Elephas maximus indicus: one gene and its partner. The protein of the gene in region 1 purifies or fractionates together with the protein of each later gene. This does not show direct contact. Links are inferred from orthologs where the notes say so. Each region holds a gene or a part of one and is shown on either strand. Other genes may lie near its edges.

Region 1 (7,338 bases):
TTTTATGTTTGCCTTAAAAAAGTTACTAATGTTAACTACAATCTATGGAAATAAGACCACGATACCAACTTTGCTTTTTTCCCCAAAGGCAGTGGGAGTCAGACTGTTGCAATGATCAAGTGTACAACTGGCTGTGTAGTGTTGGGGGTAGTGTGGTGTTGGAAATCAAACTGTTTTTATTAATGAAAGGCTGGAAACAGATACCAAGAAAAGGAGGACAGATTAATTTAAAGCTGCTGCAGGGAATCACCTTCACTACCTGTAATGGTCTGCATTGAATAGGGTGCCTCCTGAGGAAATGTTTCTACTGCTGACAATGGCTAGGGCAGCAGCTATTGCATGGTTTCTTTTCTGGACTCCTCCAAGTAACTATGGTCCCAGCGTACTAACCTCTGGGTTTCCAAAGAGAAGCTTTGCATCTGAAGGGCTTCTATTTTCTCCACAAAAACTAGCTAGCCCACGACAGCTGTATTTCAGGTGGCACTCCGAAGAATTTTAGCACAGAACCAACAACAGCTTTCCTACGGAAGATGCTTACCTACTACATAACCATGCTTTTTCAAGAGATTAAGTTGATTTTGTTCTTGCTCTGTAAGATCTTCTTCAGCTTTTCTTGCATCTTTTTTAAGCCTCTTTTGCCTTTCAAACATTCTATAAGGCGTTGGGTTGCAAATAGGAAACTTCAGAAGGTTTAATGTAGTACCTAAAATACCAAAGAATAAGTGGGCTTTTATAAATGCTGTACCAAAAAAAAAAAAAAGAAACGCGCGGGGCGGGGAACGACTAACATTTTTGAAGAGTTACACTGTGTTGGATACCGTGATTTATCTCACTTAAGCTTTGTGATAACCCTCTATAAAATTATTCCCATTTTACAGATGAAAAAACAGGCTCAGATTGGCTCAGGATTTGAATCCAAAATTTGCAGATCTGATTTCTTTCCATATTCACCATGCATAGAAGCACTTTCCTGTATAATTCAACCAAAGTTCAAAGCAGAAAGAAAACCAAAGACACAAAGAAAATATTAGCCCAAAAGATCAATGGACCAAATGAACCACACACAGCCTCCACTAGCCTGAGCTCAGAACTAGATGGTGCCGGGTTACCACCACCAGCCACTCTGACAGAGATCACAATAGCGTCCTGGACAGAGCAAGAGAAAAATGTAGGACAAAATTCAAGTTCACACAAAAAAGACCAGACTTACTGGTCTCACAGAGACTGGAGGAGCCCCCGAGACTATGGCCCCCAGAAACCCTGCTAACTCAGAACTGAAGCCACTTCCGAACTCCAACTTCCAGACAAAGATTAGACAGGCCTAAATAACAATTTTTTTTTTGTTCAATCAAGTATACCAGACCAAATGGGCAACTAGTGCCCAAAAGCAAGATGAGAAGGCAGAAAAGGATGGGAAAACTGGACAAATGGACACAGGGAACCCGGGGTGGAAAGGGGGAGTATGCTGTCACATTGTGGGGACTACAACCAACATTACAAAATGATTTGTGTATAAATTTTTGAATGAGAAATTAATTTGTGCTGTAAACCCTCACCTAAAGCACAATACAACAAAACAAAACCAAAACAATAAAGTTCAAGGCCGAGAAAGAAAAAAGCTTGCCAAAGCTCAATTCTAGTTTCAAAGGAAAAACTGGGACAGTTAGTACCCACAAAAGATTAAACCAAAAAAACAAACAAAAAAACTCCACCAAACCTGTTGCCTTTTCAGTCGATTCTGACTCATAGTGACCCTATTGCCAACTGTTAAATACTAACAGGGTCACGTTGTTGTTACGTGCCTTCAAGTAGGTTCCGACTCATAGCGACCCCACAGGAGAACTGCCCCATAGGGTTTCCAAGGAGCGGCTGGTAGATTTGAACTGCCAACCCTTCGACTAGTGGCCTAGCTCTTATCCATTGCGCCACGAGGCCTCCAACAGGCTCATAGAATGACCCATTTTTCGATTACAGAAACTTCTTAAAGCCACAAAATCGACATTTCTTCTAGACAGAGCCACACATCATATTGCTTCACTGAATTTTTCAAAATGTGAAATGTGTGTATAGCACACTTCACATTTGTATGAATAAACTCAAGATATGAGAAGTAGGACTGAAGGGTGTAAGTTCAGAGCATAAAAGGAAACATAACGTTTCAGAGAAACACACAAAGAAGTTACAAGGGAAACCTCCAAGACAGCAGGAACTTTGTATCTCCAGTGCCTAGAACAGTGACCGGCACATAGAAACGCTCCATAAATAGTTCTATTACAAAATTACTACAATGCATACAGATTGTCCAAGCACTAAGATGACTCAGAAAAGAGACCTGTGACCAAAGTTGGGAAAGAATTTCTAAAGGGAAAACTGTAAGCACCTCCTGGTGGACATTACAAATGCTGTACTAGACGCCTGGGGTCACGACCAGAAGTCCAACTTCTCAAAAACCGAAAGGGGCGAGCCTCGTACGGCTCACCTGGCCAGGTGGAGATGGTGGCCCTGTCGATGGCCTCGGCGCCCTTGGCGATGCAGTAGTCGGATTCTAGGAGTGTGTTGAAGAGAGTGGACTTGCCGGCGTTGGTGGCGCCCACCAGGTAGACGTCACCACGGTAGCGCCAGGAGCGCTGAAGCGCGGAGATCAACTCTTCGACCCCGTAACCGGTTTTGGCGCTTATCAGCCGCACGTCCCTGAGTACCGTGCGGGGCTTGGCCGACGGATTCGGATTTTCCTCCGGGTCCCCAGGGCCGTCTCCGCCGGGGCCCTGTGGCCCTCGGTACCTACGAGGCGGCAGGAGGCCGGCGCGGGCACAGTCGTTCCACAGCCGCTCCCGGAGCCGGCGCCGGTAGCCGGGGGCGTCCTGGGGCAGCAGGTCCACCTTGTTCCCCAGCACGATCAGTTGTTTGGGGCCCACCAGCGCCGGCAGGTCGGGCAGCAGGGCGTCGGGCAGGTCGAGCAGGTCCACCATGTAGAGCACCAGTGCGGGACCCGGCCGTCGGAGCGCGGAGCTCACGAGCTCCCGGTACTGCTCGCGGCTCACCTGCACGCGCAGAGCGCGCCGGTGGTGCACCAGCAGCCAGCAGCGCTGGCACACGGTCCGCGCCAGCCCGCCGTCGGCCTGCGCCGCGGCGCTGAGGAACTTCTCGCTGGGCAGGTAGCCGGGCACGTCGGGGTTCTGGCAGTGCAGCTCCGCCCCGCAGCCTGAGCAGTTCACGCCGCTGGGCGGCACCGCCGCGTCTGGGTGCCCTACGATCGGGTGCACCCGGCGGCTGACCCGTAGCTTCTGCTGGCGTCGCTCCTCCCGCCGCTGCTGCTTCTCTCGCTCCTCCTCCTCCTGCCGCTGCAGCTGCTGCTGCAGCTCCTCTTCGGGGGTCGGCGCGGGCTCCGGCTCCGCGACGTACTCAGGGAACAGAAATTGCTCCTCCATGTCAGTCCTTCCTCCGTAGCCCCCAGTCGCCGTCGGGCCATAAGAAAGCCCACGTCCCAGGCCGGAGGGGTGCTGGAAGGAGTAGGCGGCCGCGTATCCTCTCTCGAGCAGCGGCTCCCGGAGGCCATGGCGCACTACCACAGGAGCTGAGGCCCGCAACAACGAGAGGAACAACTCACGGGTTAGGCGTGCGGGCAGCATGAGAAACGCGGCACCTGGGCAAAAGGGCGGAGCCACCTCCGCACATGCGCACTCGGGACCGAGGCGCGAGGCAAACGCGAGTCGAAAACCCCGGGGTGTCTGGGAGCTATCATTCTGGCTCCTCCTCCCGTTTTGAATTCCGTGAGTTCTCGCGATTGGAAGGCTTTGAGGCCACGAATCTGGGACCTAAATACTCACTTAGCTGCCACAAGAGGATAGTGCATGCTTTGAACTATTCAGATTCCTTCAACGCTCCACCGCTAGCATACCCTGCTCTTAATAAATTACATTTTAAAAGCTTGCGTGTTTTTTGGTCTTCAGAAGTGCAGAAAATAAAACGAGTGTCGCAGAAGCAGGGCCGCAACGAAAGCCTTTTATTAATAACACTTTTTAAATTAATACACCTTGGCTAAAAAAAAAAATCATTATTTGCGCAACAACACTCAGAGTGTGCACACAATAAAAAAAAACCTGCACTGGCCGAATACCCTCAAACAGTACGAGGAGTTCTAGCGAACAGCCACTAGAGGCGTCGTGTCAGAATTTGCGCGTGCGTAAAGCCAACCCTAGCCAACATGCTCTATCATTTGCGCAAGCGCAGTTCTAATATTTGCTTCTTTGTGGGTGGCTTTTTTTGGTGTTTTTTTTTTTTTTTTTGGTGTAAGACGCACAGTATTCTGGGAACGCCGGAGACGGAAATTACTTCGACGCGCTCTCCGGGAGCTGGCGGCTGCTTCGCTCTTTTCTGTCTCTCTAGATTTCAAGAGCTAGGCGCTCCGGTACCTTTTGCCAATATGTATGACGCGGACGAGGGTAGGTGACCACTCAAATCTCACTCCGCGGCGACCCAGTTAGGGTGGGGAATTTGGGTAACTGGACGGATTGAGGATTTGTGGCCGACCCCCGCCAGCCGCACAAGTGTCCCCGGTTGTGGTCCTCGCATACTACAGGCCGAGAACGAAGCCAGGTTGCGAGAGGTGGAGGGTGCAGGGAACGTGACGTTGAAGTTCCTAGTCAAATGACTGTTATTCTCTTCTCCCTCTCTATTCTCTATCCTGTTAATTGTGCTATTTACCTGCGGTATTGCAAAAACGTACAGAACCGTAAGACAAATATGGTTGTTTTGACTTGATCTGAAGCAAAGTGCTCTTTTCTTGATTTCCCTTAGGGCCACAGTTAGTGGTTTTATCGACTAGTTCAATTAATGAGCGTCACCCTTGTGCCAGGCATTGTGCTGTTGTTGTCATTAGGTGCCGTGAGGGTCTTCCTCTTTTTTGCTGACCCTCTACCAAGCATGATGTACTTCAGGGACTGGTCCCTTGTTTTAACATGTCCAAGGTACATGAGGCGAAGTCTCACCATCCTCGTTTCTAAGGAGCATTCCGGCTGTACTTACTCCGAGTCAGATTTGTTCCAACTTCTGGCAGTCCGTGGTATATTCAGTATTCTTCGCCAATACCGTAGTTCAAAGGCATCAGTTCTTCTTGGGTCTTCATTCATTGTCGAGCTTTCACATGCATACTTGATGGAAAATACCGTGGCTTGGATCAGCCGCATCTTAGTCCTCAAGGTGACAGCTTTGCTTTTAAATACTTTAAAGAGGTCTTTTGCAGCAGATTAGTACAGTACGTCGTTTGATTTCTTGACTGCTGCTTCCATGTGCATTGATTCTGGATCCATGTAAAATGAACTCCGTGACTTCAGTATTTTTTCTGTTTATCATGATGTTGTTTATTGGTACAGTTGTGAGGATTTTTGTTTTCTTTGTATCGAGGTGTAATCTATACTGAAGGCTGTGGTCTTTGACCTTCACCAGTAAAGTGCTTCAAATCCTCTTCACTTTCAGAAAGCAAGGTTGTGTCATCCGCATATCGCAGCTTGTTAGTGAGTCTTCCACCAATCCTGATGCCACTTTCCTCTTCATATAATCCAGCGTTTCAGATTGTTTGCTCAGCATACATATTGAATGAGTATGATGAAAGGATACAACCCTGACGCACACCTTTCTTGACTTTAAACCACCCAGTATCCCCTTGTTCTGTTCTAACGACTGCCTCTTGGTCTAAGTACAGGTTCCTCATGAGCACAATAAAGCGTCCTGGAATTCCCATTCTTCACGGTGTTATCCATAATTTGTTATGATGCACACAGTCGAATACCTTTGCACAGTTAATAAAACACAGGTAAACATATTTCTGGTATTGTTTCTGTCAACCAAAATTCCTTTGACTTCAGCAATGGTATTCCTTGTTCCATGTCCTCTTCTGAATCTGGCTTGAATTTCTGACATCGTGCTAGGCCCTGGAAATACACTGGAGAAGGGGTTGATCTAGTTTGGCATTCCTCATGCTGTCTTAAGTCTAAGCAAATTGTCTTAAAAGATGGCTTTTAAACTTACTCTTCCCACAAGGAATTGTAGTAATTGTTCTTGCTTGATAATACGTTTTACTGAACAGGTGGAACGTATCCTTTTTCTTTTTGTATAAAGAATTTTTAATCATGTCTAGTGTATTTTCATGTTGTGTTTTTAAAGCTCCCTCTTCGATTGCCTACAGTTACTATTTCAAACTTCATTCTCCTCCAGCTCCTTATCCTATGGTCACTGCTTGCTTTTCTTGTCATTCTGTTAGCTACTTCACGGAGAAAATAGAAACGGAAAGTTAAAACTCTGCTGTAATGATTCTGTCTGATTCATATCTTTTGTCTAGAAGTTCATCAGCATCTTTACATTTCTTTTTCTTCTTAACTTTATCTCAGAAGAAAATTTTAAAGTTTTAAGTTTTTGAGTAGGTACTGTATTCTCATGGCTCACCAGCTAGAAATTACAAACACTTTAAAGTGCCTGTTCTCATTCTTGTTTACCATCTGTCTACTTTAATCCCTTCCACAAATGAGTAATCACTCTTTTTAGATTCTTACTTATTACTCCAGAATTTCTTTTATGCATATTTAAGCAAATACAAATGAGATTCTGTGGGGCAGCTTTGTTCAGTCCTGTAGGGTTGCAATGAGTCAGAATTGACTCAACATAACAGGTTTTTATTTTTCCCCCTTTTACAAATAGAAGCTAATATTCACACTTCTCTGCACTTTTATTTTTTGCTTAATAAATTTAGGAGATTTTCTATTAGTATATAGAAAGCCTCGTTTTTCTACCATAGTTAACCTAGTTTGTATGGATATCTGTAACTTAATTAGGTAGTGTCTTGTTGATGGACATTGGTTATTTCCAGTCTTTTTCTAGTTCAAACAGTGGTTCATAATCTTGTACATATGTTTTTTTTCCCACGTACAAGTATGTCTCGAATAAATTCCTGGGTATAGAATTGTTGGTTCAAATGTTAGACACATTTAACATTTTGATAGATGGTGCTAAGTGACCGCCAAGGTAATTGTACAATTTTACATTCTTATTAGCGATGTATAATAATAATGCCTGTGGAAAAAGAGTTAAAGTTATCATGTTCATGAATGCTCTAGGATTGAGTACATTCCATTCACGTCTGTGCCCTTTGAAATCTGTTAGACACCATCTTATCAGTTTTCAGACACTACTTTTCATCTGGTTTCTGTGTAAAATATTAGATGTCATTCACAGGATACACCATTCACAGTTAAACCCTCTTTTCACTGTTTTCTTTTTTTTTCTCCCGGTATTTTTGTCTTCCTCTTTCCATTCATAGCCACGCTTACTAAAAGGAACAGGCTC
Region 2 (7,336 bases), on another chromosome or scaffold:
TTTTCAATTATTTGGCTAAAGCACTTAAGTGTTTTTTAACATGATTCCTCCACTCCAGCCAGGCTGTTGTTTTCCAAACACGTTTATTCCTAAGTACAAGCAGCTCTCACACAAAGCCCATGGAATTTTTTTTTTTTTTTTTTTTTAGTCTTAACTAACACTATGTTCTTTAACAAATGCTCTGTGATAGACCCATTCCAGTGGTACTTACACATTTGTTTTAAATTTATGTGGTGGGGGCACTGGGTTTTGGGCTCGCACTTCTAGCACTTCCATGTAATGTGGCTTCTTCTGGGCCCCACTACGAGGGCCTGTCAAGTTATCGGTACTTGTGTTTTCCCTTGAGCGGTGCTCCCCTGGGTCTGCGATTGTGATCCTTTGTAACCTATCAACAATCAGGTTGTCGGAGCTGCTGGAACTATCTTCTGCTTGTCTTGAAACAAGATGCTGTGGGAGACACTTGCTGGCTTCAGATAAGGAAGCGGCACTGGCTCCGCTGCTAGGAGCTGTGCGCCCGTTCACTATGCCCTCTGCTTCTGCAGTCTCTTCACTGCCTTTGTGAAAGAGATGTACAAGTCCCTGCTTTGGTGAAGCTGTTTTAGATGACTTGCTGTTATCTACAGAGGAGGAGCCAGGAACTGGTGGTGAAGTATGAAGTATCTGGTCAGAATTCTGAGCCTTAGCTGTGTCCACATCAACTCCTGCGGTCACTGTTTGCCTTACTGTACAGTCTAACCTAACAGGATGAAAGAGTTGACTTTTTCCTCTGAACTCTTCACGTTCTGCAACGGCCACTTTCAGTTTGGCAACAGAGTCTAAGATCTTTTTACCTTTGTCGGGCAATTTGCAAATGAATTTTCTGTCAAATGGAAAAGAACATGCATACATTAGAGCCATGTTTTCAAACTTCAGAGAAAATTAAAACGACAAAGCATTATCCTCAAAGGGAGAAAAGCTGGTTTTTAAATCAAAATCTGATTTTCAACTGCCCGGAAACGGGAATGAAACCAATTAAGGTAATCATTATCCAAACACCCCAATAATCAAGGCAGTACAAGAACAAGGAATATGCCTCATTTGTCTCATCCAATGAGAACTTAGTAAACACATTTAAGCATGTAATAATCATACATGACGTCCCAACAGATCAACAGTTTTGTAAGTATGGTCCTCAAGAGCCTCTTGGGGAGAAAGGGGAAAGGTCTGCGAGGTCAAAACTACTTTCATAAGAGTACTCAGATAGTACTGCCTTTCTCACGCACTTTTTCTCACATGGGTACAGTGGAGTTTCCCAGAGGATACCCTGATGTAGGGCACCACTGCTCTGGAGGCTCAATGGAATGTGTGCTTACATATCCTTGTTTTTAAAGATTTCTCAGTTGCAATTTCTAATAAATCAATAAATACTTATCGACATAACCCTCATAAACAAAAGCGTTTCTGGATCCTCAATAATTTTAAGTGTATAAAGGGGCCCTGAGACCAAAAAGTTGAGACAATTTGCTGCTACAGATAAAATTCCAACCTCGCCAAGTCAAGACACCCAAGTAACTATTTGCCCCCTCTGCTGGGTAGCAGAATTCCCTTTTCAGATTTCTTTTTCTATAGCCACACAATAAACGGGGACAGAAAGCTCACCAAAATTACATCTTAGGCCCTCTAGTCTTTCTCTGACACACAATCATTCCCATAGTGTCAACCATTAGCACCTCTCTGCAGCTCTGTGGTAGCTGCTATGTGTCCGCGTCCATGGTGCCCCTATTAGTGCATAGTAAAACTGCCCCATGGCATTTCCAAGGAGTGGCTGGTGGACTGGAGCTAGTGACCTTCTGGTCAGCTGCCAAGCTCTTAACTATTGTGCCACCAGAGCTCCTCTCTGCAGTTGAGATTCCTGTATTTTTTCCAGCCTTCTCTTCCCTAAGTTTAACAACCACTTCTCTAGCTTTTAAGTAGTCATAATTAGCCCGATGTCTATCCTGCCATATCCTAAACTTAGCAAAAGTCAATCTCTGGCCTATTCCCCTGCCCCAATTCAACCTCGAGCCTATTTCCCTCCCCAATTCCCCTAGTTTTGTTAATGGCTCTCGCAGCAGGCTGGGAACTTCAATCACCTCTGTCAACTACTTATTCAAATTACTCCGCAGCCACCTTCCTAGTTCACGTTCTTACGACCCCTTGTTGGAAACCCACCTAAAAATATCCTGTCTTCTGCCTCAGACTCCTTCAAACCCTCCTGCTACTAAATTAAACTCCTAAAAAAAAGTCACTTTTAATTTTTATTATATCACCCCTCTACTAAAACCCGTTAAATCCGAACGTGAGTCAAACTTCCTCGGCCTAATAAACCACTCTTTATATCCGACTCTTCCCATTTCCTACGGTTCCCACAAGAACAGGGTCTGCCAGGGAAACTGACATGGTGCTGAGCCGTCACCGTATTTGGCACTGTATGCGGGAGGGGGGCATATAAATGGGGCTGTGGCACACACCCTTCGTGGAACCGCCACAGTAGCTAAGGAAATTCAACCGGCTGAGCGTCCCAGAGCAGCCCAGTGGCTACGGCGGGCCAGCAGGCGAGCACCATCGAGACCCCGCGACGGCCAGCCACAGGCCGTCCATCGCCGCGGGGCTGACACGAAGCCGGCTCGGCAAGGTCACCTTCAGAGAAGGAACGGATGAGAGGAAAGGGAGGGGAGCTTCCCGGGGGGCCCGAACCGCGGGATCCCGGAGTTGGTTCGGCGGGACCCAAGCTTACTCGTTGCGCAAAAGTCTCTCCTGGCGCTTCAACATCTCCCGCAGCTCCGCCAAACTCCGCCGCCCCCAGTCCTCGGGAGCTAGGGGCTCGAAGCCGCGGGCCAGCGAGGACATTGTACGGGGGCTGCGGCTGGCGAGGCGGCGGGCACTCGGCTCCCTCGGCAGCCCCCGCCGCTAGCGCCGGATCCGCAGGCGGCGACGACTCTGGGGCGCGAGCGGGGGACGCCATTTTCCCGGAAGAACGGGGCTTCTTCGAGGCGAATCGAACTTTATTGACACAGCGGAAACAAACACAGACCGAGCGAAGGGGCCGCCGGGAGGAGCGGGAGAGGGCGGAAGTGACGGGGCTAACTTCAGCGGCCGGAAGGGCTTTTTTTCGCGCCTGTTTTTCGGGATTGATTCGACGGCGCTAGGTTCTAGGTTCTTTAGGGTCGTCTAGTCGTATTTTTTAATCTATTTCTTCGGAAAGTAGTTGAGTGCCGCCGTGACGTCACTACCCAGCGTATGTTAATGAACAAATCGCCACCGAAAGTAGAAGCCTGCAAGCCTCACAGGAGAAGCCCCTGCGCTTATGGAATTTACAGCATCGTGGAGGGGGGCAGAAAACCAAATAGTAACACAGTATGACAGCGAGATTGGGATGGACTTAGAGAAGGTATCCCTGAGCAATGAAATTTATGTTCAAACCTGGAGAAATGAAACACATAAGACAGTCATTACTGCTGGGTGGCGCAGACCGTTTGCGCTGGACTACTAAAGGTTGTTGGTTTGAACGCACTCAGCGGCACCACGGAGGAAAGGCCTGGCAGTCCGCTTTGTGCCATCGAGGTGATTGGGATTCGTAGCAATCCTATATGACACAGTAAAACTGTCCCATAGGACAGTTTCTTAAGCTGTAATCTTTACAGAGCAGACCACCAGGCCTTTTCTCCCAAGGAGGGCAAACTGCTGACCTTTCAGTTAGCACCCAGGCACTTAACCGTTGCACAACTAGGACTCCTTTCCATTACCCTGTGGAAGAGTTCTACTCTGTAACACCTGGGATCATCATGAGTCAACAGCAGCCTGTTTGGTTTTTTGGCCTACGGTGTGATTCCTCCTACCCTAAGGCTTAGCGAGGTCCTAGATGTTAACGTTAAAGTTGAAAGGTTCCCCAGTTATTGCTCTAGGCCATTTGGTGTCTGGCTTCTGCTGACTAGTTGCCATGACACTTGCAAGTCATCATAACAACCCAAAACACCCCACCATTCCCAAAGGTTCACAAGAGTTGAGGATGTCAGTAGGAGGTGTACAGCTGGCTGAGAATCTCTCTTTCACAACTTACTATTTTGCTGATGGAAATACAGAGGTACAAAACCTGATGTGAATATTCCCGGGGCACAGAACCAGTAAGTGATAGCCTCAGATTTCAAACCCAAATGCTCAGCTGCTCTTTCCAACATGCAACTCAGAAATGCTTTTCTTCGTTTCAGGCCTATTTCCAAATGTATAAAATTGGTAAACAAAACAAAACAAAACAAAATCGTTTTGTTTGTTTGAAGAGGAAGGCAATGTAAAAGGCATCACACCCAGCTCCCACTTTCTCTTTAGAGTTCAGCTCGTAGAGCTGTCTCCTGAAAGAAAGTGTAAGAAGCTTGCAAGCCTCATAGGAGATGTGGCTTTGGAGGCTTGAACATGCCCATGGGCTCCAGCACTCTTCCTGTTCTTTGATACGGAAAATTGAAGCTTTCTCAAAACCATGTCAGGCACCATTGCAGGGATTGCATCCAATGTCACAAAAGAATATGTGTATAAATTTTTGAATGAGAAACAAACTTGAGCTGTAAACTTCCACCTAAAGCCACAACAAAACTAAAAAAAAAAACTAATAAAAACCAAATATAAATGATAAAAAGGAAAAAAAATTGTGTAAGTTGCTATATAAACACAAAGCAGCTCCCCACCAACCAGACCGACAAACACTCTAGATAAAATCTGGAGCTACTCCCAGGAGTGTAGTTGCAGACTTTTCTGTATCTACCCCAATCTAGTCCATCTGATCAGATTAACTAATATATCAAAAGAAATTGCCTGCTTTCAAGAACTTCAGTAACCCGCTCCAAAAAAAAAAAAAAAAAAAAACCTAACCCGTTGCCATCGAGTTGATGTTAACTTACAGTGACCCTAAAAGGTCAGGGTAGAACTGCCCCTTAGGGTTTCCAAGGTGCAACTGGTGGATTTGAACTGTCAACCTTTTGGTTAGCAGCCAAGCTCTCAGCCACTGCGCCACCAGGGCTCCAGCTGTGGCTAAATAAGAAATAACTCAGATTAAAGTCCCCAAATGAGGTCCTAGTCACTCGGCAAGTTCCTCTAAGGCCTCCCTCATCCCTCCTCTAGGTTGCAGCTGGAGGTCTTTTCCCTGCCCCTGCCCCCCCCCCCCCCCGCCACAGTAGAGAACCCCCATACTCTGATCCTGGGCTACCGTTTCCATGGCAAGGATGCCTTTCTTTCAGGCCACAGAATTTTGTCCCCTGCCAGTTTCCCCTTGTAGAAGGCTATCCCTTCTCCCCTCGCCAATTATAAATCTTGGCTCAAAGCAGAAAAAGAAGGCCAGTGTGGAAGGCTGGAGCTAGATCCCATGGGGCTTTGTCGATCAAGATATGGAGTTGGGATTTTATTCTAAGCCATTTGTGGTAGGCAGCCTCTAGGATGGTTCCCAATGATTCCACCTTTATGTAATCCCTTCCCATTGAGTGTGGGCTGCCCTTACTCTCTTCTAACAAATAGAATACAGCAGAAGTCATGGGATATCACTTCCAACATTAGGTTATAAAAGATTTGAACAGACATTTCACCAAAGAAAATGTTCAGATGAAAAATAAGCACAATAATGTGTTCCACATTACTAACCATTAGGAAAATATGCATAAAAAATACAATGAGATACTACTGTACACTTATCAGAAAGACTGATGATGTCAGGTGTTGGCAAGGCTGTGAAGCAACTGAAACTCTTATACGTTGCTGGTGGAACTATAAAATGGTGCAACCACTTTGGAAAACAGTTTGGCAGTTTCTTAAAAAGTTAAACTTAACATCTACCATATGACCCAGTCACTCATTTGCTAGGTATTTATCCAGGAGAAATGAAAGCATATGTCCACACCAAGACTTGTACATAAATGTTCATAGTAGCTATATTTGGAATATCCAAAAAATATAAACAACCCAAATGTCTATCAGCTGGCGAATGGATAAACCAATTTCGGTCTATCCATACAATGGAAAACTATGGCACATGCACCAACTTTGATGAATCTCAAAATAATTATATTGAGTGAAATAAGTCAGAAAAATATGAGTGTATACTGTATGGTTCCATTTATATAAAATTATTTAAAATGAATACTAATCTACAGTGACAGAAAGCAGATTGGTGATCACCTCAGGATGTGGGGTGGCAGGGAGAAGTTGGGGGAGGGAGTCCAAGAGGACAGGAGGAAACTTTTGGGCAGGATGGATGTTCTCATTATCTTGATTGTGATGATGGTTATATGGGTATATATTTGATAAGTCAAATGAATCGACTTATCAAGTTATACACTTTAACTATGTACAGTGAAGAATGTGTCAGTTAAACTCCAAAAAGCTGTTAAACATCCCCCTCTAGCTTCCACCCTCTCTTCCATTTTCAGAGAGCAGATTCCAAAAGAATTGTCTACTCTCTTTGACTCCACTTCACCGCTCTTGCCAGAGCCATCAATCTCCTCCAGGGCCTCAAATCCAAGGAACAGGTTTTAGTCTTTATCTTCCTTCCTGCACCTGACTATGTTGACAACTTTCTCCTTCCTAAAACTCTCTCCTACCTTAAAGTCCATGGCACCAACTCTCCAGGCTTTTCAGCAAAGGAGTCTTTTGGCTCTTTGTCCTGGGGCTAGAATTATACTGAGTAGGCCCTTACTATCCAGTATCTCAAAGGCTTCTCAGGTTGAACATGCCCCAAATTGTACTCATTTATATTTCCCTCCCCAACCCACTCTTCCTGTTTTCATTCCTAGTCGCCCAACCTGGAAGTTACACATTCATGCTGGGCTGTTCTTTTTCCCTCAACCCAACAAGTCACTAAATCCTAGAGCCTAAATACCTTTCAGTTTCCAGTTGCCACAAATGGTTAAGCACTTGGCTACTAAATGAAAGTTGGCAGTTGGAAAATCTACCCAGAGGTGACTTGAAAGAAAGGCCTAGTGATTAACTTCTGAAAGATCACAGCCATTGAAAACATTATGAAGTGTAATTCTACTCTAAAACACATGGGGTCTCCATAAGTGAGAGCTAATTCAACAGCAACAGGTTTTGTTTTGTTTTTAATACCTTTCAATTCTTCCCCTTCTCCTCTCTACACTCTAATCTCTTCCACCCCTTTCAACTTCCCACCCCATATGCCCATCTGTCGGGGGACAGCCCCAGCAAGGAAAGACCCTCGCTGTGCGTCCTGGCAGATAATCCGAAGAACTGACACATAGCCCTTTCCAGATTCAGACGGTTATTCAGGGAAACTTACTTACACGAGCAAGCAGCTGCTTTCTCCAGTGGCGGCCGGCTG

What was found. Proteins that work in one complex are often made in the same cells at the same time.
Region 2: the proteins of POLR2B (region 1) and POLR2M purify together in Homo sapiens (affinity purification with mass spectrometry; 3 studies listed by BioGRID and IntAct, counting the BioPlex papers as one, with this or other methods). This does not show direct contact. The link is inferred for Elephas maximus indicus from reciprocal best matches to the Homo sapiens genes POLR2B and POLR2M.

The regions. Positions count from the first base shown.
Region 1 is NC_064823.1:104,050,930-104,058,267, reverse strand, and holds the start of POLR2B (DNA-directed RNA polymerase II subunit RPB2), read left to right. Parts: upstream 1-4,321; 5' UTR 4,322-4,423; coding exon 4,424-4,442; intron 4,443-7,338. Other genes in the region: NOA1 (nitric oxide-associated protein 1), read right to left, coding at 539-703, 2,480-3,629. UniProt on the Homo sapiens protein: Catalytic core component of RNA polymerase II (Pol II), a DNA-dependent RNA polymerase which synthesizes mRNA precursors and many functional non-coding RNAs using the four ribonucleoside triphosphates as substrates.
Region 2 is NC_064831.1:47,823,883-47,831,218, reverse strand, and holds the start of POLR2M (protein GRINL1A), read right to left. Parts: upstream 3,014-7,336; 5' UTR 2,869-3,013; coding exon 2,756-2,868; intron 860-2,755; coding exon 212-859; intron 1-211.